Saccharomyces cerevisiae S288C: one gene and its partners. The protein of the gene in region 2 interacts with the protein of the main gene of each other region in a pairwise test. Each region holds a gene or a part of one and is shown on either strand. Other genes may lie near its edges. The genes, in order: HXT6, ROD1 and JEN1.

What was found.
Region 1: the proteins of ROD1 (region 2) and HXT6 interact in a protein complementation assay, tested with the Saccharomyces cerevisiae proteins (one study listed by BioGRID).
Region 3: the proteins of ROD1 (region 2) and JEN1 interact in a protein complementation assay, tested with the Saccharomyces cerevisiae proteins (one study listed by BioGRID).

Annotation. Positions count from the first base shown.
Region 1 is NC_001136.10:1,157,069-1,164,138, reverse strand, and holds HXT6 (hexose transporter HXT6), read left to right. Parts: upstream 1-2,818; coding exon 2,819-4,531; downstream 4,532-7,070. Other genes in the region: hexose transporter HXT3, read left to right, coding at 1-1,182; YDR344C (uncharacterized protein), read left to right, coding at 1,690-2,133. UniProt on the Saccharomyces cerevisiae protein: High-affinity glucose transporter.
Region 2 is NC_001147.6:361,378-369,182, forward strand, and holds ROD1 (Rod1p), read left to right. Parts: upstream 1-2,991; coding exon 2,992-5,505; downstream 5,506-7,805. Other genes in the region: PET127 (Pet127p), read left to right, coding at 35-2,437; YOR019W (uncharacterized protein), read left to right, coding at 6,750-7,805. UniProt on the Saccharomyces cerevisiae protein: Mediates resistance to o-dinitrobenzene, calcium and zinc.
Region 3 is NC_001143.9:18,249-25,747, forward strand, and holds JEN1 (monocarboxylate/H+ symporter), read left to right. Parts: upstream 1-3,985; coding exon 3,986-5,836; downstream 5,837-7,499. Other genes in the region: threo-3-hydroxy-L-aspartate ammonia-lyase SRY1, read right to left, coding at 1-91; URA1 (dihydroorotate dehydrogenase), read left to right, coding at 6,967-7,499. UniProt on the Saccharomyces cerevisiae protein: Essential to lactate transport.

The DNA of each region.
Region 1 (7,070 bases), on a different chromosome or scaffold from region 2:
GGTTTGGGTGTTGGTGGTATTGCCGTTTTATCTCCTATGTTGATTTCTGAAGTCGCTCCTAAGGAAATGAGAGGTACTTTAGTCTCCTGTTACCAACTGATGATTACCTTGGGTATTTTCTTGGGTTACTGTACCAACTTCGGTACTAAGAACTACTCCAACTCTGTGCAATGGAGAGTTCCATTAGGTTTGTGTTTTGCCTGGGCTTTGTTTATGATCGGTGGTATGACTTTCGTTCCAGAATCCCCACGTTATTTGGTTGAAGCTGGTCAAATTGACGAAGCAAGAGCATCTCTTTCCAAAGTTAACAAGGTTGCCCCAGACCATCCATTCATTCAACAAGAGTTGGAAGTTATTGAAGCTAGTGTTGAAGAAGCTAGAGCTGCTGGTTCAGCATCATGGGGTGAGTTGTTCACTGGTAAGCCGGCCATGTTTAAGCGTACTATGATGGGTATCATGATCCAATCTCTACAACAATTGACTGGTGATAACTATTTCTTCTACTATGGTACTACCGTTTTTAACGCTGTTGGTATGAGTGATTCTTTCGAAACTTCTATTGTTTTCGGTGTCGTCAACTTCTTCTCTACTTGTTGTTCTTTGTACACTGTCGATCGTTTTGGACGTCGTAACTGTTTGTTATATGGTGCCATTGGTATGGTCTGCTGTTATGTAGTTTACGCTTCTGTTGGTGTCACCAGACTATGGCCAAATGGTGAAGGTAATGGTTCATCCAAGGGTGCTGGTAACTGTATGATTGTCTTTGCCTGTTTCTATATTTTCTGTTTTGCTACCACTTGGGCTCCAATTGCTTATGTTGTTATTTCTGAAACTTTCCCATTGAGAGTCAAGTCTAAGGCTATGTCTATTGCTACAGCTGCTAATTGGTTGTGGGGTTTCTTGATTGGTTTCTTCACTCCATTTATTACTGGTGCTATTAACTTCTACTACGGTTACGTTTTCATGGGCTGTATGGTTTTCGCCTACTTCTACGTTTTCTTCTTTGTGCCAGAAACTAAGGGTTTGACTTTGGAAGAAGTCAATGATATGTACGCTGAAGGTGTTCTACCATGGAAGTCTGCTTCATGGGTTCCAACATCTCAAAGAGGTGCTAACTACGATGCTGATGCATTGATGCATGATGACCAGCCATTCTACAAGAAAATGTTCGGCAAGAAATAATTTCACGCTAAACCGTAGTGCTGAATAATAGTGTATTTTAAGATTCGATGTGCTAGTCAATAATGATAAATAATACACAAGATTTATGACTTTATATATATAATTCTCTGATACAGTTAATAAAAGACATTGGTACATGATATCAAACAGAATTTTAACATTTCTTGATCCAGTTTGTAAACAAAACAAACAATTTTTCTACCATTTAACTTCATACCATCGGCGAGAGCCGAACAGGAAAAAAAAGAAGTCTCCGGTTATCGTAAGCAGTATCAAATAATAAGAATGTATGTGTGTGCAATTTGTTATACCCACGAAGAAGTGCGCAGTAGAGTTAGAAAACCAACTGAGTAATCTTTACTCCCGACAATCGTCCAATAATCCTCTTGTTGCTAGGAACGTGATGATGGATTTCGTTTGAAATCCGGACGGAAAACTCAAAAGAAGTCCAACCACCAACCATTTTCGAGCCTCAAGAATCTCTAAGCAGGTTTCTTTACTAAGGGGATGGCCTTTCTGTCCTGGACATTTTTTCCTTCCTTTTTTCATTTCCTTGAAAGGAACAGATTTTTTTTGACTTTTGCCACACAGCTGCACTATCTCAACCCCTTTTACATTTTAAGTTTTCGGGTTGAATGGCATCAAATTTGGGAAAATTTAGCTTACTCAGACACCAACACATTTTTTCATGAGTATTGTTGGAAAATCTTTCCATGCTTATCAGCCGGAATACGGAACAACGGCTGCTGTGATGCCGCAAAGGGGCAAGGAAAAAATAAGCAACACACACCGAAACAGGAGGAAGAAATTCCGAACACAAGCCTAAGAAGACACCGCAGTTGTTGCAACATGTTCACATGTTCATCCCCCTGCTACTACTTGGAAATTAATGTAGGGGTAATTGGAGTGCGCCGGCCCGTGCTTTCAGAGGAACAAAGGAAGAATTGTTAAAAAAAGGCAGTGACAACGAGCACGGGTGCACCATATGGTGTGATAAGCAACCTAGGACAAAAAGAAGTGCGCAGTTCCTGTGTGCGGCGCCAAGACAAATGTTTCATATGCTTCTCCAAGGGGCTACGCTACCTAGCCTCACCACCCGATCTCTTTTTTTCCTGAACGCAGAGGGGACCGTACGAAAAAAAATGTTTTTTAGGCAACGGAGATTCGTTTTATCCACGTTTACCCCACAAAAAGTGCAGGTACATTGTGGGGCCCCGGCATCGAAAACCAGTTTTTTTCCTTTAAACGCTGGAAAAAAAGGAGAAATTATTGGAACTTTGCAGAGAATAGTCCGTAGGCAAATTGAAAATGTTCCTTAAAAAATTTCGTTTCTTACTCATTGAGATTATTCAGATGCCCTCCGTGCCTTCATTGAAAAAAATCCAAGAGATGTCTCGGATCTGTATGCAGATTTTGGCTTGCAGACAATGGAGAGCAAATGGGTATACAATATAGAAAGCACAGAAACATATAAAAAGAGCTCGAGAAAAGACATATGGTTTGTAACTATCTTCTTCTTTTTTCCAATTTTTCTGTTTTAATAATAAAAAAACAAGAACAAACAAGCTCAACTTGTCTTTTCTAAGAACAAAGAATAAACACAAAAACAAAAAGTTTTTTTAATTTTAATCAAAAAATGTCACAAGACGCTGCTATTGCAGAGCAAACTCCTGTGGAGCATCTCTCTGCTGTTGACTCAGCCTCCCACTCGGTTTTATCTACACCATCAAACAAGGCTGAAAGAGATGAAATAAAAGCTTATGGTGAAGGTGAAGAGCACGAACCTGTCGTTGAAATTCCAAAGAGACCAGCTTCTGCCTATGTCACTGTCTCTATTATGTGTATCATGATCGCCTTTGGTGGTTTCGTTTTCGGTTGGGATACTGGTACCATTTCTGGTTTCATCAATCAAACCGATTTCATCAGAAGATTTGGTATGAAGCATAAAGATGGTACTAATTATTTGTCTAAGGTTAGAACTGGTTTGATTGTCTCCATTTTCAACATTGGTTGTGCCATTGGTGGTATTATTCTTTCCAAATTGGGTGATATGTACGGTCGTAAGGTGGGTTTGATTGTCGTTGTTGTCATCTACATCATCGGTATTATTATTCAAATTGCATCTATCAACAAATGGTACCAATATTTCATCGGTAGAATTATTTCCGGTTTGGGTGTTGGTGGTATTGCCGTTTTATCTCCTATGTTGATTTCTGAAGTATCCCCAAAGCATTTAAGGGGTACTTTAGTCTCTTGCTACCAATTGATGATTACTGCCGGTATTTTCTTGGGTTACTGTACCAACTTCGGTACTAAGAACTACTCCAACTCTGTGCAATGGAGAGTTCCATTAGGTTTGTGTTTTGCCTGGGCTTTGTTTATGATTGGTGGTATGACATTTGTTCCAGAGTCTCCACGTTATTTGGCTGAAGTCGGTAAGATCGAAGAAGCCAAACGTTCTATTGCCGTTTCTAACAAGGTTGCTGTTGATGATCCATCTGTTTTGGCTGAAGTCGAAGCTGTCTTGGCTGGTGTAGAGGCAGAGAAATTAGCTGGTAATGCATCCTGGGGTGAATTGTTTAGTAGCAAGACAAAGGTCCTTCAGCGTTTGATCATGGGTGCTATGATTCAATCTCTACAACAATTGACAGGTGATAACTATTTCTTCTACTATGGTACTACTATTTTCAAGGCTGTTGGTTTGAGTGACTCTTTCGAAACCTCTATTGTCTTGGGTATTGTTAACTTTGCTTCCACCTTTGTTGGTATTTACGTTGTTGAGAGATATGGTCGTCGTACTTGTTTGCTATGGGGTGCTGCATCCATGACTGCTTGTATGGTTGTCTATGCTTCCGTGGGTGTCACCAGATTATGGCCAAATGGTCAAGACCAACCATCTTCCAAGGGTGCTGGTAACTGTATGATTGTCTTTGCCTGTTTCTATATTTTCTGTTTTGCTACTACATGGGCTCCAATTCCTTATGTCGTTGTTTCTGAAACTTTCCCATTGAGAGTCAAGTCTAAGGCTATGTCTATTGCTACAGCTGCTAATTGGTTGTGGGGTTTCTTGATTGGTTTCTTCACTCCATTTATTACTGGTGCTATTAACTTCTACTACGGTTACGTTTTCATGGGCTGTTTGGTCTTCATGTTCTTCTATGTTTTGTTAGTTGTTCCAGAAACTAAGGGTTTGACTTTGGAAGAAGTCAACACCATGTGGGAAGAAGGTGTTCTACCATGGAAGTCTGCCTCATGGGTTCCACCATCTAGAAGAGGTGCCAACTACGACGCTGAAGAAATGGCTCACGATGATAAGCCATTGTACAAGAGAATGTTCAGCACCAAATAATTTGCGAACATTTTTATTAATTCATGATCACGCTCTAATTTGTGCATTTGAAATGCACTCTAATTCTGATTTTATATTTTTAATGAACCCTTACGATTTATATTGTATGGCAAGATGTTGCCAATAGAAGTATAATTTTTTATTAATTTTTTTTCTTTTCTAAGCTTTGAAGAAAAGTTAACAGCTTTACCCTTCAAAGTTATTGTTTTGTAGCGCTAGAAGCGAAGTAGGCGCTCTTTCTCGCATAAGCTACCTTAGGAGGAAAAAAAAAGTCTTCTATTATAAACAAAGTACTCTATAATTCATCAAAAAAATTAATTATGAGCCGGAGCTTTTCACAATCAGTGTACATATGCAGGGCTCACCTCGGTACTGCGCTTTTCTACCTGAAATTAAATAGAGTCACCTCATTACAATGAAGCTACTAAACTCCTCAATGTTAAACTGGCATTGCGACAGAGTAGAGAAGGCTTGTCAATAAACCTGAATTTTTGGTAATAAAAAGAAAATGGGGATCATATTAGGCCTTTATGATCATCCTTGGCAAACTACATCCCATATATGTTTGAAAAAGGGTTAATGATATGAAAATGTTTTTATTTAATAAGAAATGATGTACTACTGGCGGCGATTGGTAAAGAGGATCTAAGTTTTCTTTCCTGGCAGATGATAAACAGTTAGCATTCCCCAAAAAAAATAATTTCACCTTGTTAAAAAGGTAATTTGCGAGAAAACATGAACAGTCTGCCCCTTAATGAACAGTTTTTGGCCAAAGTCCTATTCGAATATATTTTAGTGGAAGAAAATCTTGTAGGCTGTAAACTTATTGATAGGCCCATTTGGTACTATTATATGTTATTTCAGCAACAATTTATGGAAAGGTTGCCGTAAGTAACCTTTAGATGGCAGGAAGGAAAAAAATCATGCTTTAAGAGTGGCTTCAGTAGCTAAAAAGGTAGTATACATCGCACAGTGAATATTCGCCCCAATGGACGGAAAAGTTCATGCAAGATTAAACGCAGTACCAGAAAGCCGCGTTTGTATGGTTTTATTGGCGTCCATACAAATAACTTATTAGCGGGGTGACAATTCAGAGACAATTCTAATGTCGAAAAGTGTACCATCACTAAAGTATTCCAGGGACTTCTGCCCACCACGTAGAAACGCGTTGTTGAATTATTTGACACAGTAATTTACCTAACTGGTCAAATGATTCTGTCTACTTCATTGGCTATTTTTCGATTTCTTTAACCTGCGACAGGAATTCAACAATGTTTAAACAAAAAATTCTGACAGCTAACTAGTAATTTTTGACATAAAATAATGATTATCTTCACCATGATAGAAATGCAGGACACGTAGTAAAAAGAAGAGATTTTTCCTTCTAGTACCGCGTGCTCAATACCACACTTTTGCAAAAATGCATCGATATATTAGGTAAACTCAAACAACGAAAGGAGGAATAGGCATTCGATATTGCTATTTTCAAATTGTATGCTGACGTCAACTTTTTATTAAGGATATGATAAAATCAACAAATGCCAACTTCTTCAACTTTTAGAAAGTACGAAATGCTAATAATCTTTTGTTCGTATGCTCCCTGAGTTACAATTCTAAGATCATTTTTGTGTTCGGTCACCAGCAACACTATATAACGAAATAACAGTTGCCATATTCGTTTTCTGTCTTGTTGAAGCTCAGATTGCTCAAGAAATAAAATAATTACTACATGAGACAAAAAATCTCATGGGAGCAAAATTTTCAACGCATGTTCAGACCATTTTTTTTTGCCGATGAGTGAGTAATCGCCAATGGGTCTTAATCAATTACAGATCTTAAACAGTCGTTTGGTTTTCGATGCTCAAGGGATCGGACCAGCAATAATCGGAAGAAGAGATCAAACAATCGGTCATTAGTCTCAAAGAACATGCAAGCTAACACAATGTTAGTGAGGAAGAGATAAAAGTGTGGGGTGATGGTTGTTCCTTATGTTTATTACAGGAGAACGTTAAGTGAACTCTGAGAACTAACTGCAGCAGCTTGATTCTCCGCCTGTTTACTTGGAAAAGAAATGGGAACAAAAAAGGTACTGCATTTTTTTCCGGTTCTTTTCTCCACCTAGGATGAGGAGTAATTTGCCTTAATGGGGGATTAAATCCGGGGCTTTCCAAAGCGGGACCCATTTAATTCCACCTTCGGATTTTTTTGCATAAACTCTCAATTTCCCCGCGATCCATCTGCCGAATGGTGCACTCTACGGAAAAATACAGTAAGAAAAAAAAAAGTCCTGTAATCTTCAAGTCTTAGATTGACAGGAACGTTAATATTTTTCCTGATCTATGTTTGACAAGTATGGTAATTGATAAAATTACGCATATACTGCCAATAGCCCTAAGTGATAGTAGTCGGAAGAAAACAAAATGGCAAGCAGTTGACAGCAAAAATTGTTAGCGTATCCTATGGGTGGTGGAAAGAAAAGTTTATTAAGCTAGTATTATGTGTTTTTACTTTCTCACGGAAAAATTCTCTAGAAGAAAAG
Region 2 (7,805 bases):
CCAAACGCTACCTGATACTTTTATAGTTTTGATAATGGGGTTCTACAACTGTAGATTCCTGTCCAGACGTCTATCTGTTGAGCCTTGCAGAATAGGTAGCGCCGCTAAAAGCTATCAACAGCGATCGATTTATCACTTTGGCGCTGCTCTCACAAATGCCCCTAGTGGAAGAGAAACACCAGACAAGCTACGTTCTGACCTGCATAGTGCTTTAGAGATGGTCGATGAAATATATGACACAAATTCGACTGTAGAGGACATTGGAAACAAGGAAAAGGGAGGTCGACAAAAATATACGGAAGAAATGGACAAGGCGATTAATCTACTGAAAACAAATATAAAGAAGGAGTATAGACATGATAAGTATTTGGAGCGGACAAAGGTAGGAACGTATCCTGGTAGAAGAACATATCCTGGTAGGAGAACATATCCCGCTAGGAGAACATATCCCGCTAGCAGAACATATTCAGATAGCAATTCATACACTTTTCGGATAAATGTCCAGAAGATTAGGCACGCATTAGTACGTTACAATCAAGATGGTGTTCAAAAACACAACCAAAAGCCTCCTAGGATTGGTCATGGATTAACGAGAGTGTTATACCAACCGTTGTCGCTACAAAAATTGAGAGATAATAGGAGCAGAATGTATAATTTTGACCCTGCAGTGGAAAATATTAATCCAGAGTATTTGGAAAAGAAAAGTGAAAAAGATGTGAACACAGACTCCTCTGGAGAAGGACAAAGCAAGCCAATATTCATCACACCCCACAAAGATGAATCTCTGTTAAAGGTTGCCAAAGAACATAGAAAAAAGTACATATCTTCATCAAGTTCCATGACATCAGTACTTTCTCAGTTGCACTATTTATTATCCAATTTCAGAAGATTGAATATCATTGATTCCTCGATATCGAAAAATTTTCCTCAAAAAAACTGCAATTATTCAGAAAGTGCATATTTTCCGTCAGCAGTCATTCTGAGAAAGAAGAGAAATGGCATTTGTTCTATTGATTCAGATAGAAGTCTGGATAGGGAGATTGTGCTTTCTGTACTAGGTCATTATCTTGAAGACTTTTTAACGGAAAAGTCCCTGAAGAATAGTTCAAAAAGTGAAAATTATCACTATTCTAGTATAGATGAATTCATTGTGAGATCTCAATTGGACGCGTACGACCCAAATCTACCTGGAACGGGTGTATTTGATCTGAAGACAAGAGCAGTTTCTGCCATAAGATACGATTTATCACATGTAGAGAGTAATAACAACCAAACTGGATATGAGATAGATAAAGTTTATGGGGAATTTGAGTCTTTGGAAAGAGAATATTTTGAACTAATCAGGTCTGCCCTTCTAAAGTATTCTTTGCAAGCTAGAATTGGCAAAATGGACGGTATTTTCGTTGCATACCACAATATTTCTAAGATGTTTGGATTCCAATATCTACCTTTGGACGAATTAGATTATATAATCCATTCTTCGTATAACAGCAAATTCGACAGTTTGTTAAAGGAGAAGAATGATATCACAAAAGGGATATATGGTGAGGAGGACTACATTCTACACTATGACAGGGACGATAGGAAAATTGCTTGCTTGGTGGCTAATAGGGAATTTAAGATGTCTATGAATCTGTTCAGTAATATTTTGAAACACGTTGAGCAGTTACTTAACTCAAGTAATACGAAATGGGAAAAATGCAAAATAATGCTTAAAACCGAAGTTGAAGAAAAACGATCCAAAAGTGGCCGCTTCTTTAACGAACCGGTGCTAAATATTGTAGCCCTGCCGTTGTCACCTGAGTACGAGGATAAATCTTTATTGGTAAAGGATACTTCGAACGAACAATTAACAGAGGAGCTACTAAACCTCCGCTCATATAACGAAAATCTTTTGGAGGAACACCTGAATTCCTTAGTTGGATTTAAAGTAAATGTCAAGCATTTCTATCACCATCATCCTAATACTACACATCTACCTGATTTTGCTTTAAAAAAGAACGATATTCTCGACACCGAATCCCGTAAATATATTTCTGACATGATGAAACGAGACTGGTACAAAGATATACCATCTACACAGACTCCAAACTTTTTCCACGCTTCCGATGTTTCCACTTGGGAGGTGAACTCTACTTTTACAGATATCAATGACAAACAAATTTTACGAAAACTATACTTTAAATATTTGGATGTTAAATTAAACGCATTGAAAAATCAAGTAATCACACGTCAGGAACCTGATATGTCTAAAAAGGATGAAATTATGAATCGAATCAAATCACTACAAGCCCGCAATGATCACCGCGATAATGGAAGTAACAAAAGATATTCTAATTTTGGCCCTACCCGACTGCAAACTAAACTGCGCGCATATGCTAAAAAAGGTGCCCTTCGAAGAAAACTATTAGAAAGGAGTAACAAGTTCCATATCTAGAAGACAGTAGTCAGCGTTGGGCAATCTAATGTTATAGGTGAAGTTTTACTACTTTAATGTATTCACTCACAACTTTCGACCTTATGTAATTATTCTATGTATTTTTAGATATGTCCATACAATGCATTATTCTTGTAATTATAACACATATTAATTAAACAATGGGTCAAAAAGAGTCGAGTCCCTTGGTACATATTATGTTACATTACTGATTAAGTTGAATAAAAGCATCTAACTTTAAGGAATCTGCTTTATTTTGAAGACCGAAAACTACGAGTAAAAATAGGAGTTTTAATGCGGATGAATGTCTAACCCCAGAGATGGGTTCTCCGATAAAAACTGAGAAGCTTCCTGTTCACAGTTTTTATAAATTATTTTGTATGGCTGGGCTCTTGCAATTTTCAGCGTTTTTTTATTAAGCGAAAAAAACAGAACAGGGGTCCCCTATTCAAATATAGACGTCAAAAAGATGCAGATCTAAAACTAATTAACAACCATACAGAAATCAACGCGATTTCATCACACCATTCGCTTCTCTTCCTCCATAAGTAATAATGTTTTCATCATCATCTCGACCTTCAAAAGAGCCATTACTATTTGACATCAGACTTAGAAATTTGGACAATGATGTTTTACTGATAAAAGGCCCCCCTGATGAGGCATCTTCTGTCCTACTATCTGGAACTATAGTATTGTCAATTACTGAGCCAATTCAAATCAAGTCTTTGGCTTTGAGACTTTTTGGTAGGTTGAGACTAAATATTCCAACGGTTTTACAAACTGTTCATGGGCCGCATAAGCGATACTCAAAGTTTGAGAGAAACATATATTCTCATTTTTGGGATGATTTTAATATAAAAAGTTATTTCCAAAACTTGTACGATAATCATAATAATGGTAAAATAACAATTTCTAGTAAATCCTCAACAAATTTAGCAGCATTGCCAAAGAGAAAAAGAGCCCTTTCTACTGCATCATTGATATCAAGTAATGGGCAGACAAGCGCAAGCAAAAACTATCACACCTTAGTAAAAGGTAACTACGAATTCCCTTTCAGCGCGATTATTCCTGGGTCATTAGTGGAAAGTGTAGAAGGCCTACCAAATGCTGCCGTCACTTATGCTCTGGAAGCTACTATCGAGAGACCTAAGCAGCCCGACTTGATCTGTAAAAAACATCTAAGAGTTATTCGAACGTTAGCTATAGATGCAGTCGAGTTATCTGAAACAGTATCAGTGGATAACTCATGGCCTGAAAAAGTCGATTATACGATCTCCATTCCAACTAAGGCAATTGCCATTGGCTCTTCCACCATGATCAATATTTTAATTGTTCCTATATTAAAAGGATTGAAGTTAGGCCCTGTTAGGATCAGTTTGGTGGAAAATTCCCAGTATTGTGGTAGCTATGGAGGGGTTATCAACCAAGAAAGAATGGTGGCTAAATTAAAACTAAAAGATCCCCTGAAGCACGTTGCCCAAATAAAGAAGAAGAGGAGCCTAAATGAAGCTGCCGACGAAGGGGTTGATACGGACACAGGGGAATTTCAAGATAAATGGGAAGTTCGAGCTTTATTAAACATACCTGCAAGCCTGACTAAATGCTCCCAAGACTGTCGCATTTTATCTAATATCAAAGTCCGTCATAAGATCAAGTTCACTATAAGTTTACTCAATCCGGACGGTCATATTTCAGAATTGCGTGCGGCACTGCCTGTCCAATTATTCATTTCACCGTTTGTTCCAGTCAATGTAAAGACCTCCGATGTTATTGAAAGAACGCTCAAAACGTTTGGACCCTCATATCAAGTAACAAGTCAGCACGATAATTCATTCAGCAGCAAAAACTTTGTAGACGATAGTGAAGAAGATGTGATTTTTCAAAGATCTGCTTCTGCGTTACAATTGTCTTCAATGCCAACCATAGTATCTGGCTCTACTTTAAATATCAATAGTACTGATGCAGAGGCTACCGCAGTCGCTGACACAACTATGGTAACTAGTTTGATGGTACCTCCCAACTACGGCAATCACGTTTACGATCGAGTGTATGGCGAGGTAACTAATGAAGACGAAACTTCAGCATCAGCTTCTTCAAGTGCCGTCGAATCACAGGCAATTCACAATATTCAAAACCTATATATATCGGATAGTAACAATAGCAATAATCCTATTTTGGCACCAAATCCTCAAATCAAGATTGAAGATGATAGCCTAAATAATTGTGACTCTCGAGGGGACAGCGTTAACAATAGTAACCTGAATCTGGTTAATAGTAATCTAACAATTAGTGAAAATTGGAACAATAACTCTCCTTCTGCAAATAGATATAATAACATCATTAATGCTGGATTGAATAGTCCTTCACTGACACCAAGCTTTGCACATTTATCTAGGCGTAACTCATATAGTCGCCAAACATCTTCTACATCGCTGAAGAACGATTTGGAACTGACAGATTTAAGCAGAGTTCCCTCGTATGATAAAGCAATGAAATCTGATATGATTGGTGAGGATCTTCCACCGGCTTATCCCGAGGAAGAACTTGGAGTTCAAGAAAATAAAAAAATTGAACTAGAAAGGCCACAAATTCTTCATCACAAGTCTACATCCTCTTTGTTGCCACTTCCAGGCTCGAGCAAGAGTTCCAATAATCTGAAAAGATCGTCTAGTAGGACACATTTATCCCACTCTCCATTACCAAGGAATAATAGCGGATCCTCAGTATCATTGCAGCAGTTGGCGAGAAACAACACAGATAGTTCATTTAATCTAAATCTCTCTTTCACTTCAGCAAAAAGCAGCACAGGAAGCAGACATTTTCCGTTTAATATGACAACATCTTTCACTAGTAATTCAAGTTCCAAGAACAATTCACATTTTGATAAAACTGATTCTACATCTGACGCTAATAAGCCAAGAGAAGAGGAAAACTATACGAGCGCAACCCACAATCGAAGGTCACGCTCATCGTCAGTTCGGAGCAACAATAGCAACTCACCATTAAGACAAGGAACAGGTTCATTTGCTAATTTAATGGAGATGTTCACAAAACGGGATCGCTCATAGACTGCTTTATTTTTTGTCTTCGAAATTTCGACAAAAAGATATGAGCAATACTTCATACACGTTTGTACAGTTAAGCATATATACTTTGATAGAGTACTTTCATACCTCATACCACTTGAAAAATGATAATATAATGTTATAATACTACCTCATAATTGCTATAAAGTAAAACAATTCGGCGTTGTAGTTTATGCTTCTATAATCACAAAAAAATTTCACTGAAGTTGTCAGATTCTGCCGCAAGGCTTCTCATAGATTTTGTTAAGTGGTCTTACTCGGTTTTATGGCTTGAAGGTTAACATAATTATGAAAACTTATTGATATCCTCCCCACCCCTAACGTTTTAAAAATGATCTCGTCCAATATGTTTGAGGTGAATAATATCGGACCAGTTCTTGTTTTTAAAAGATAAGAATTGCTCATATTTCCCATACTTGTTGGAAAATTTCTCTCAACAATTGTATGAAGGCAAAATCCCTCAATTGAAACATTAAAATAGTGATTAGAAAAACAGGATTAATCAGTTATACGAACGTATTTTTGAGAGAATATAATGAGAATACAATGAGCTTCAGAAGATCTGTTTTTCTTTACTTGGCACTTCTTCCTCAACAATTATTGGCACTACAAAATTTTCTAATTAAATGTTAAAGATCCCACAGACATCATTCGTATATATCCTCCCATTTTATACGGTTAGCCAACTTTGCGATCCTACGGAAATTGCTATTTTTATAGTCAACTCATTGATCTCGAGCACAGCTGCTCTTTTCTCTCAATGAATTACGTTATATGTTAATCACACAAGCATCAGTTTTTCATCGCAAAAGAAAATATTTAGAGTTCTTGCAATTCAGATGTACCTCAATTAATAACTCAATCACCTCCTATGTTCTTGCTGGTAGTACTGCTTTTGTCTTAATTACTGCTGAATCAGCCTTCTAGAAGACCGTTCTGTTTCAGCCGCTCGCCCCTTTTCAAAGCTTGCGCGGCTGAGTTTTATGAGGGGCGGCTTTTTTGTGAATGGCAATCTACCATTATTAGTAGCAATATGATTTGCAGATAGATACATATATATCCTTCTGGGTTCATGTCTCGTTACCATCCACACTAATGCATAGGACCAGAAAGAAAGGACATCGAATCCAACACGTATTAAAATAAGGACTCCTCATTAAAAAGGCTTTTAATATTCAACTTGCTATAGATCACGCACCCTTTTGGCAAGTCAACCTTAAATTATTATGATTTCTGTTTGCCCACAAAATGACTTGCAAAAATGCTACAGAAGCCTCACATTCGATGTTCCAGGACAACAATTCGAAGAGAGAAATGAACAAAACCTTAAAAAACGGGCCAAAAAGAAAGGCAGTTTCCAACCATCTGTTGCCTTTGACACAGTGCCTTCCACCGCTGGTTATTCTTCTATAGACGACAGCAGGGAAGGATTCAAAGGTGTACCTGTTCCCAACTATTACACGATGGAAGAGTGCTATGACGATGAAACAGACTCTTTTTCGCCAAATTTGCAATATTATTTGAGAGATACATTCCAATCATCACCTTTTCTGAATACTAGAAAAGAGAACAAATCTGAATCCAGTAGTTTTCCAATGAGATCCTCAAAGTTGTTGGAAAAGAATTCTGACATCAAAAAATATTTCTTGGTATCCAAGAATGGAAAAATAGTGAGGAGAGACTATCCAAGCACGCCAGTAATTGTCAACGAAACGTTGATGATAAACAGGTTTGAAAAGAACTGGATAAAGTTATGGCGCCAAAGAAAACTACAAATAAATGAAAGGCTGAATGACAAAAAAAAATGGTTTACTTACCCAGAACTTATCTTCTCTGAAGAGCGTATTAAACCGTTATATAGAGGAGATGATAGTGCACCATGTACAAAAGAACAAAAAAGAAAGCATAAAATACTTCAACAAAAGGTCGGATATCCCAATAACCCTAAGACAATAGTTTGTCACATTAACGGAAAAAAACATACGTGGGTTGCCCTAGACTGGACAGTCTACAAGTTTGCACGAAATCTTGATCACATTGTTGTCATAACTACACTGCCAAAAATGATTTCTAACAGGAAAAAAACTGCAAAAGATGATACAGAATGGGCACCGGGATATCAAAAAGAAGTAATAGATCAAAAATTAAACGACATTTTTGATTATATTTTACAGCTAGTAAAAGTGGTCAAAATATCCGTCAAAATTACTTTAGAAATAATTGTAGGCAAAATTAAAAAAAGTCTGGTAGATGTCATTAATGTCCATACTCCAGATTTCTTA
Region 3 (7,499 bases), on a different chromosome or scaffold from region 2:
GCATTCGTGAAGTGAGAACCGGTGTTTTATTTACATATTCTTTAATTCTGTTGCTGGCATCCAAAACGTCTCCATAAGTGGGAACAATCATTTTTCCAACTCAATGAAAACTAAATATCTCGAACTATATTAATTATTTGTACTTTTTAAGTTTTTTTTCAATACTCCTTTATTTGAATTTTTGCAGAATGAAAATGTAACTCTTTATATTCCAAAGCTTATCTTTTTCTCACGTACCGTCCTATAGACCCTGATTTTATGATAAGAGGCTGAATTTACTAATTAGTCATTTTTTTCAGTTTTTTTGTCATAGAAGCCACATTTAAAAGAAGTCAGCCAAGTTACCTGTAAATATTAAAACAACCTGCTTAGAATGACTGTTAATTTACAGAATTTACGATAAAAATATAACTTGGCTCTAGGGCGTGATGATAGTGACAAAAAACTCGTCAAGTAAATGTTGGGAGCTTACTTGCCGTCGTTTTCTAACGCCAAAATACACGAATCATGTTTGGGAAATATAAGTGATTAGAACTTGTCCAAGGATATTGTCAAACAATAACATACTACAATAATCCTAGATCGTGTATTATTTGCGTATGGATAAATATACCTCAAGCTTTATGAGGCATAGAAAATTCATTAGAGTCACTACTTACGTCGCACTCTCGAGGATTGGAATGACGAAATCTTCTTCAGCATTTCACCATTCACCTTTTGAAGCTTCCTATCTCGTTGCTTAAGTAGAATGAAAGCATAGCAGCCCAAAAGAAAAGCCTCCCTCAGCAAGAATATTAACAAAGAACAATTCATGGACCGTTTCTACTACTTAATATCTCTATCACAACTGTCAGTCTCAATCAGTACTTAAATGACGCTGCAGAAAAAGATATCATTATTTTTATCATCCCCCTAATAAAATAAGTAATGAATCAATGCCATTAATTCGGGAACTAGTCATATACCTAAGGAATCAGGCTTTGATAGCTCTTTAATAATAATATTAGGGCATTTTTGATATGGTAAAAGATTAGATTAGGAAACCCCTTTTGTAGAGCATCTCACTACAATATCTGCAAAAACGGTCACCTTGCATAGGCAGAACACGCTACCTTTGAGTTAATTCACAGGGGAGAGCCCTTTTTTTTTCTTAGCAAAAGTGCTTAACAATCTTAATTTCTGGAATGTTTTCGGCGGATTGTTGTATATTGTTTGAATTTGTTCGTTCTAAAAAGTGAGACACCTGCACTTTCCACGCCAAGAACACTAATACCTTTAAACATGCCAGCGTACTTTAAAATGCCACGAGTCGCCCCGTACCAAACATGCTGGCGATTGTAATTTTTCGCCTTTTATTGGAATCGAGAATTCGGGCACTGTCCTTTTCTTCGTCATTTCAATGTTATAATCATTTTTATCGCCAAATTTTCTTCAATAAAAGGTCTCTTTTAAAATATGTTACTATGTTTTTTATTTTTCTATTATTTTTCTATGTGATTTTTCAGACGATTTATTCTTTGTTCGAAGGAGAACAGATGCAACGGTCAAGTTTTTACTATCCACATGAGGAGCCGTAATATTCTAAAGGCAAAAGCATGTGTGCTTGTAAAAAAAAATCAAAAAAAGTTACTGCTCCAAGCCAGCAAGCTTTCTCTTTTGCGAAATCTTTAACACGGTTAAAATCAAAGACAATTACTTCATTGACAAGGTCAATGCTAATATTTACGGTCTCCGCACGAAAGACTCTGAAAAATGTTAAAATTTATAGTGGCTAATGCTAATTCAAGAATAGTCTCGGGTTGTTTGATCACATTATTTTAATTTTTATTGAGCACTGAATAGGACCCGTATGTTCCAATCAGTCTATTTCTTGCAACTTAATCTGGTTTGTTTTTAGGGGAGTGGCATTTTTTTTAGGGTTATTCAAATATTCAATTCTGTAATTTGCTTACGACAAAAAGAAAAGGAGAGATGAAAAAAGGGCGACGGGTATAATCTATTCAGCCGCCAATGTCCCGACGTATGCCAAAATGTGGTGCCGCGGTAACAGTAGCATCACACAGAGCATGAGAAAAGCAAGAAAAGTGGAAGTCTGTATGTCACATTTTTATTGAAAATGCTATTTGCTATAAGGTTCGCTATTCAACTGATTGAACCGAGATAGACAAAATGTTAAACTTTTCATAGAGACGTTATTGTGATAGGGTTTACGCTGAGAATGGTTGAAACATACTTGCTAATAAACCACGTCACGTCAAAATATCAGTTTTTCTTTTTTAGTTATTCCCTTCTCACTTTTGACTTGAGATGAGATCGTTACACTTTTATTGAATACGAACGGATCACGATACATCCACATATACGAATGTTCGGCCAGACAGGGCATCAGAGTATATACCCTTTTTCCTAAAATGGAAGGGCCCTAGATCGTTGGCATCAGCGGTTACCTAACCGAAGTGGATCAAATCAGCGCCTATTTTTCCGTTTAGAACGATTAGATGCCGTCAATATGTATGTGCTTACTGTATCATCCACGTAGTAAAGCTGGGGCGTAGCATCCCTAGGTTACTTTCTCAATACTGGGGTCCCTGACCAAAGATAAAACATAACCTATTATGGCGTACGAGTCAAAGTTAAACGCTATTTGACTCGGGCAGCATGCATGACCCGGGGGAATGGAAAACTTCTCATGGCTACCCCAACGAAGCCAGACAAGATCTAGGAGATGTCTCCACCTTCCGAGCTACACTCTCACATCTCTTACATAGACACTGTGAAGTAAGTGATTGCACACAATCCAAAGAAGCACATCAAATAATATGTAAATATTACCCGTACAAATGGCAAATCATGTCCACTTTCCCGTTAGTCATCGGGTGGGCCGGTCCTCGCACTTTCCTTTTGTTTCGGATGTTAATTAATATATAAATGGATCTATAATTTTCAAAAGGTATAAACGCACAGTATGAAAAATATTGCAAGAATAATGTGTTTATAAATTATTTTTTTTGCTGGTAGCAAAATCAACTCATTGTCTTCCATTCAGAGTCTAATCGAACGTTATCGCAATGCTTGCACACTTTTAAACAATACGATTTAGTTTAAGTGGATGGACCCCCACGCTTAGTGTTCCACAGGTTTGTCCCCACTGTTTTTACATTCCACTGTACATTTTTGCAATAGAAGGTCATTGTATGCTACCTTGGGCGGCTAAGAATACCTGTAAAAATTTGGAGAAATTAGATTCGTAAAGAATGACTCGCAACGACTCCAATGATTTCTTCTTTTCACCCTTTGAACGGCCGATATCCGCGCGGGATCCTGACCCCGCAATTTACTCCACTAGACCGGCGTGTTTCTCTTTTTCCTTTTCCTGGGGTTAGAGCCCAAGAGCTAATAGCCGACAAACGGACTCCAAAAAAAAAAGGAGGCACAGGACAAACGCAGCACCTGCGTCATTCACGCTGAAGCGGCAGCAAGCATTTTCGATCAGCTCCAATTAAATGAAGACTATTCGCCGTACCGTTCCCAGATGGGTGCGAAAGTCAGTGATCGAGGAAGTTATTGAGCGCGCGGCTTGAAACTATTTCTCCATCTCAGAGCCGCCAAGCCTACCATTATTCTCCACCAGGAAGTTAGTTTGTAAGCTTCTGCACACCATCCGGACGTCCATAATTCTTCACTTAACGGTCTTTTGCCCCCCCTTCTACTATAATGCATTAGAACGTTACCTGGTCATTTGGATGGAGATCTAAGTAACACTTACTATCTCCTATGGTACTATCCTTTACCAAAAAAAAAAAAAAAAAAAAAAAAAAAAAAATCAGCAAAGTGAAGTACCCTCTTGATGTATAAATACATTGCACATCATTGTTGAGAAATAGTTTTGGAAGTTGTCTAGTCCTTCTCCCTTAGATCTAAAAGGAAGAAGAGTAACAGTTTCAAAAGTTTTTCCTCAAAGAGATTAAATACTGCTACTGAAAATATGTCGTCGTCAATTACAGATGAGAAAATATCTGGTGAACAGCAACAACCTGCTGGCAGAAAACTATACTATAACACAAGTACATTTGCAGAGCCTCCTCTAGTGGACGGAGAAGGTAACCCTATAAATTATGAGCCGGAAGTTTACAACCCGGATCACGAAAAGCTATACCATAACCCATCACTGCCTGCACAATCAATTCAGGATACAAGAGATGATGAATTGCTGGAAAGAGTTTATAGCCAGGATCAAGGTGTAGAGTATGAGGAAGATGAAGAGGATAAGCCAAACCTAAGCGCTGCGTCCATTAAAAGTTATGCTTTAACGAGATTTACGTCCTTACTGCACATCCACGAGTTTTCTTGGGAGAATGTCAATCCCATACCCGAACTGCGCAAAATGACATGGCAGAATTGGAACTATTTTTTTATGGGTTATTTTGCGTGGTTGTCTGCGGCTTGGGCCTTCTTTTGCGTTTCAGTATCAGTCGCTCCATTGGCTGAACTATATGACAGACCAACCAAGGACATCACCTGGGGGTTGGGATTGGTGTTATTTGTTCGTTCAGCAGGTGCTGTCATATTTGGTTTATGGACAGATAAGTCTTCCAGAAAGTGGCCGTACATTACATGTTTGTTCTTATTTGTCATTGCACAACTCTGTACTCCATGGTGTGACACATACGAGAAATTTCTGGGCGTAAGGTGGATAACCGGTATTGCTATGGGAGGAATTTACGGATGTGCTTCTGCAACAGCGATTGAAGATGCACCTGTGAAAGCACGTTCGTTCCTATCAGGTCTATTTTTTTCTGCTTACGCTATGGGGTTCATATTTGCTATCATTTTTTACAGAGCCTTTGGCTACTTTAGGGATGATGGCTGGAAAATATTGTTTTGGTTTAGTATTTTTCTACCAATTCTACTAATTTTCTGGAGATTGTTATGGCCTGAAACGAAATACTTCACCAAGGTTTTGAAAGCCCGTAAATTAATATTGAGTGACGCAGTGAAAGCTAATGGTGGCGAGCCTCTACCAAAAGCCAACTTTAAACAAAAGATGGTATCCATGAAGAGAACAGTTCAAAAGTACTGGTTGTTGTTCGCATATTTGGTTGTTTTATTGGTGGGTCCAAATTACTTGACTCATGCTTCTCAAGACTTGTTGCCAACCATGCTGCGTGCCCAATTAGGCCTATCCAAGGATGCTGTCACTGTCATTGTAGTGGTTACCAACATCGGTGCTATTTGTGGGGGTATGATATTTGGACAGTTCATGGAAGTTACTGGAAGAAGATTAGGCCTATTGATTGCATGCACAATGGGTGGTTGCTTCACCTACCCTGCATTTATGTTGAGAAGCGAAAAGGCTATATTAGGTGCCGGTTTCATGTTATATTTTTGTGTCTTTGGTGTCTGGGGTATCCTGCCCATTCACCTTGCAGAGTTGGCCCCTGCTGATGCAAGGGCTTTGGTTGCCGGTTTATCTTACCAGCTAGGTAATCTAGCTTCTGCAGCGGCTTCCACGATTGAGACACAGTTAGCTGATAGATACCCATTAGAAAGAGATGCCTCTGGTGCTGTGATTAAAGAAGATTATGCCAAAGTTATGGCTATCTTGACTGGTTCTGTTTTCATCTTCACATTTGCTTGTGTTTTTGTTGGCCATGAGAAATTCCATCGTGATTTGTCCTCTCCTGTTATGAAGAAATATATAAACCAAGTGGAAGAATACGAAGCCGATGGTCTTTCGATTAGTGACATTGTTGAACAAAAGACGGAATGTGCTTCAGTGAAGATGATTGATTCGAACGTCTCAAAGACATATGAGGAGCATATTGAGACCGTTTAATCACTTTTCATTGCTCTCTAGGGCGTGTTCGCTTCTCTATGTAACTGCATTTCACATATATTCATATTATAGCCTTTATAACATTACATAAAAGACATGATATACGACATACTTTAAAGTTAGAATTTTTGTTGTATTAATTTTCTCGAAGGGATTAGAATGTAAGTACATTTAAATAGCGCCGCAAGAAACATAACAGCCGTTAACACTAGCAAGATGGTAGATTACTGTGTCTAAGAATTTAAATTGTTTTGCTTGCTTTTGCCACTATAAGACAATAATAGTAATAGAAAAGAAATGTTAGTCGAACAGCAAATTGGTAAAAGTGGAAAAAATTATTTCGTTATTCATTTTAGGCCGTTCAGAAATATAGCATTTTGGTTCTTGCACTGAATGGGCCCTGAGGACAGTGTGCGGCTGGATAGCCATATACTTCGACATTACTTTTCACCTTTGAAGGGGGATGTATGCTTATACACAATCAAAGCTCGGCCTGTGCAGGTTTCACTACATAAGCTTTTTTACCATAGAAATCTTGCAGAAGGAAGTAAGTATCAAGATATTACGTATCGCATCCATAGAACGATAGCAGAAAAATGCAGTATATGATAACGATATGCTTCACAGCTGCGGCCCATTTGGGGAAAAAAGGAAAAGGAGCATCCTCGATCTTACAGATGTCGCTTTTTCCTCTTGAGGTCATTCCCTAACCTTGGATCCAAGTCAATCTGGTATCTTCCCACCCTAAATAGTGTATTCCCCATGTAATAAGATCGGACGATAAACTTCGAAACAATTCTAGCCTTTTTTATTAGATATTTACTCTACTTTAGATTTGGTGATTTTACTAAATGTTATCCTTCAGCCACTACAGCCTACTTTTTCTCACTAATATGTTCTTGAAGCCATTTTCTTCACCGGGCTTTGCCGAAGGTTATTTCACGATCTTCGGCATTCGCCGAAAATTTTTCAAGATGCCCATCACCAAAAAATAAAAAAAGCTTTATATATGGCATGGCATACGCATCGGGAACCGGTATTCTTCTCTTGGATTACACAGTTTGGACTACTAGACGTTTCAAATAGATATACACAATTACTCAAAAAAAAATTGAACTTCCGTACCAAACATGACAGCCAGTTTAACTACCAAGTTCTTGAACAATACCTATGAAAACCCATTTATGAATGCATCCGGTGTTCATTGCATGACTACACAAGAATTAGATGAATTAGCAAACTCTAAAGCTGGCGCATTCATTACAAAGAGTGCTACAACCTTAGAAAGAGAAGGTAACCCTGAACCACGTTACATTTCTGTCCCTCTAGGCAGTATCAACTCCATGGGTTTACCAAACGAAGGTATCGACTACTATTTGTCCTATGTATTAAACCGTCAAAAGAATTATCCTGATGCACCTGCTATTTTCTTCTCAGTTGCTGGTATGAGCATTGATGAAAATTTAAATTTGTTGAGGAAAATCCAAGATAGCGAATTCAACGGTATTACCGAGTTAAACTTGTCTTGTCCTAATGTGCCTGGGAAACCACAAGTTGCTTATGACTTTGACTTGACAAAGGAAACCTTGGAAAAGGTTTTTGCCTTTTTCAAAAAACCTCTTGGTGTCAAGTTGCCTCCTTATTTTGATTTTGCCCATTTTGA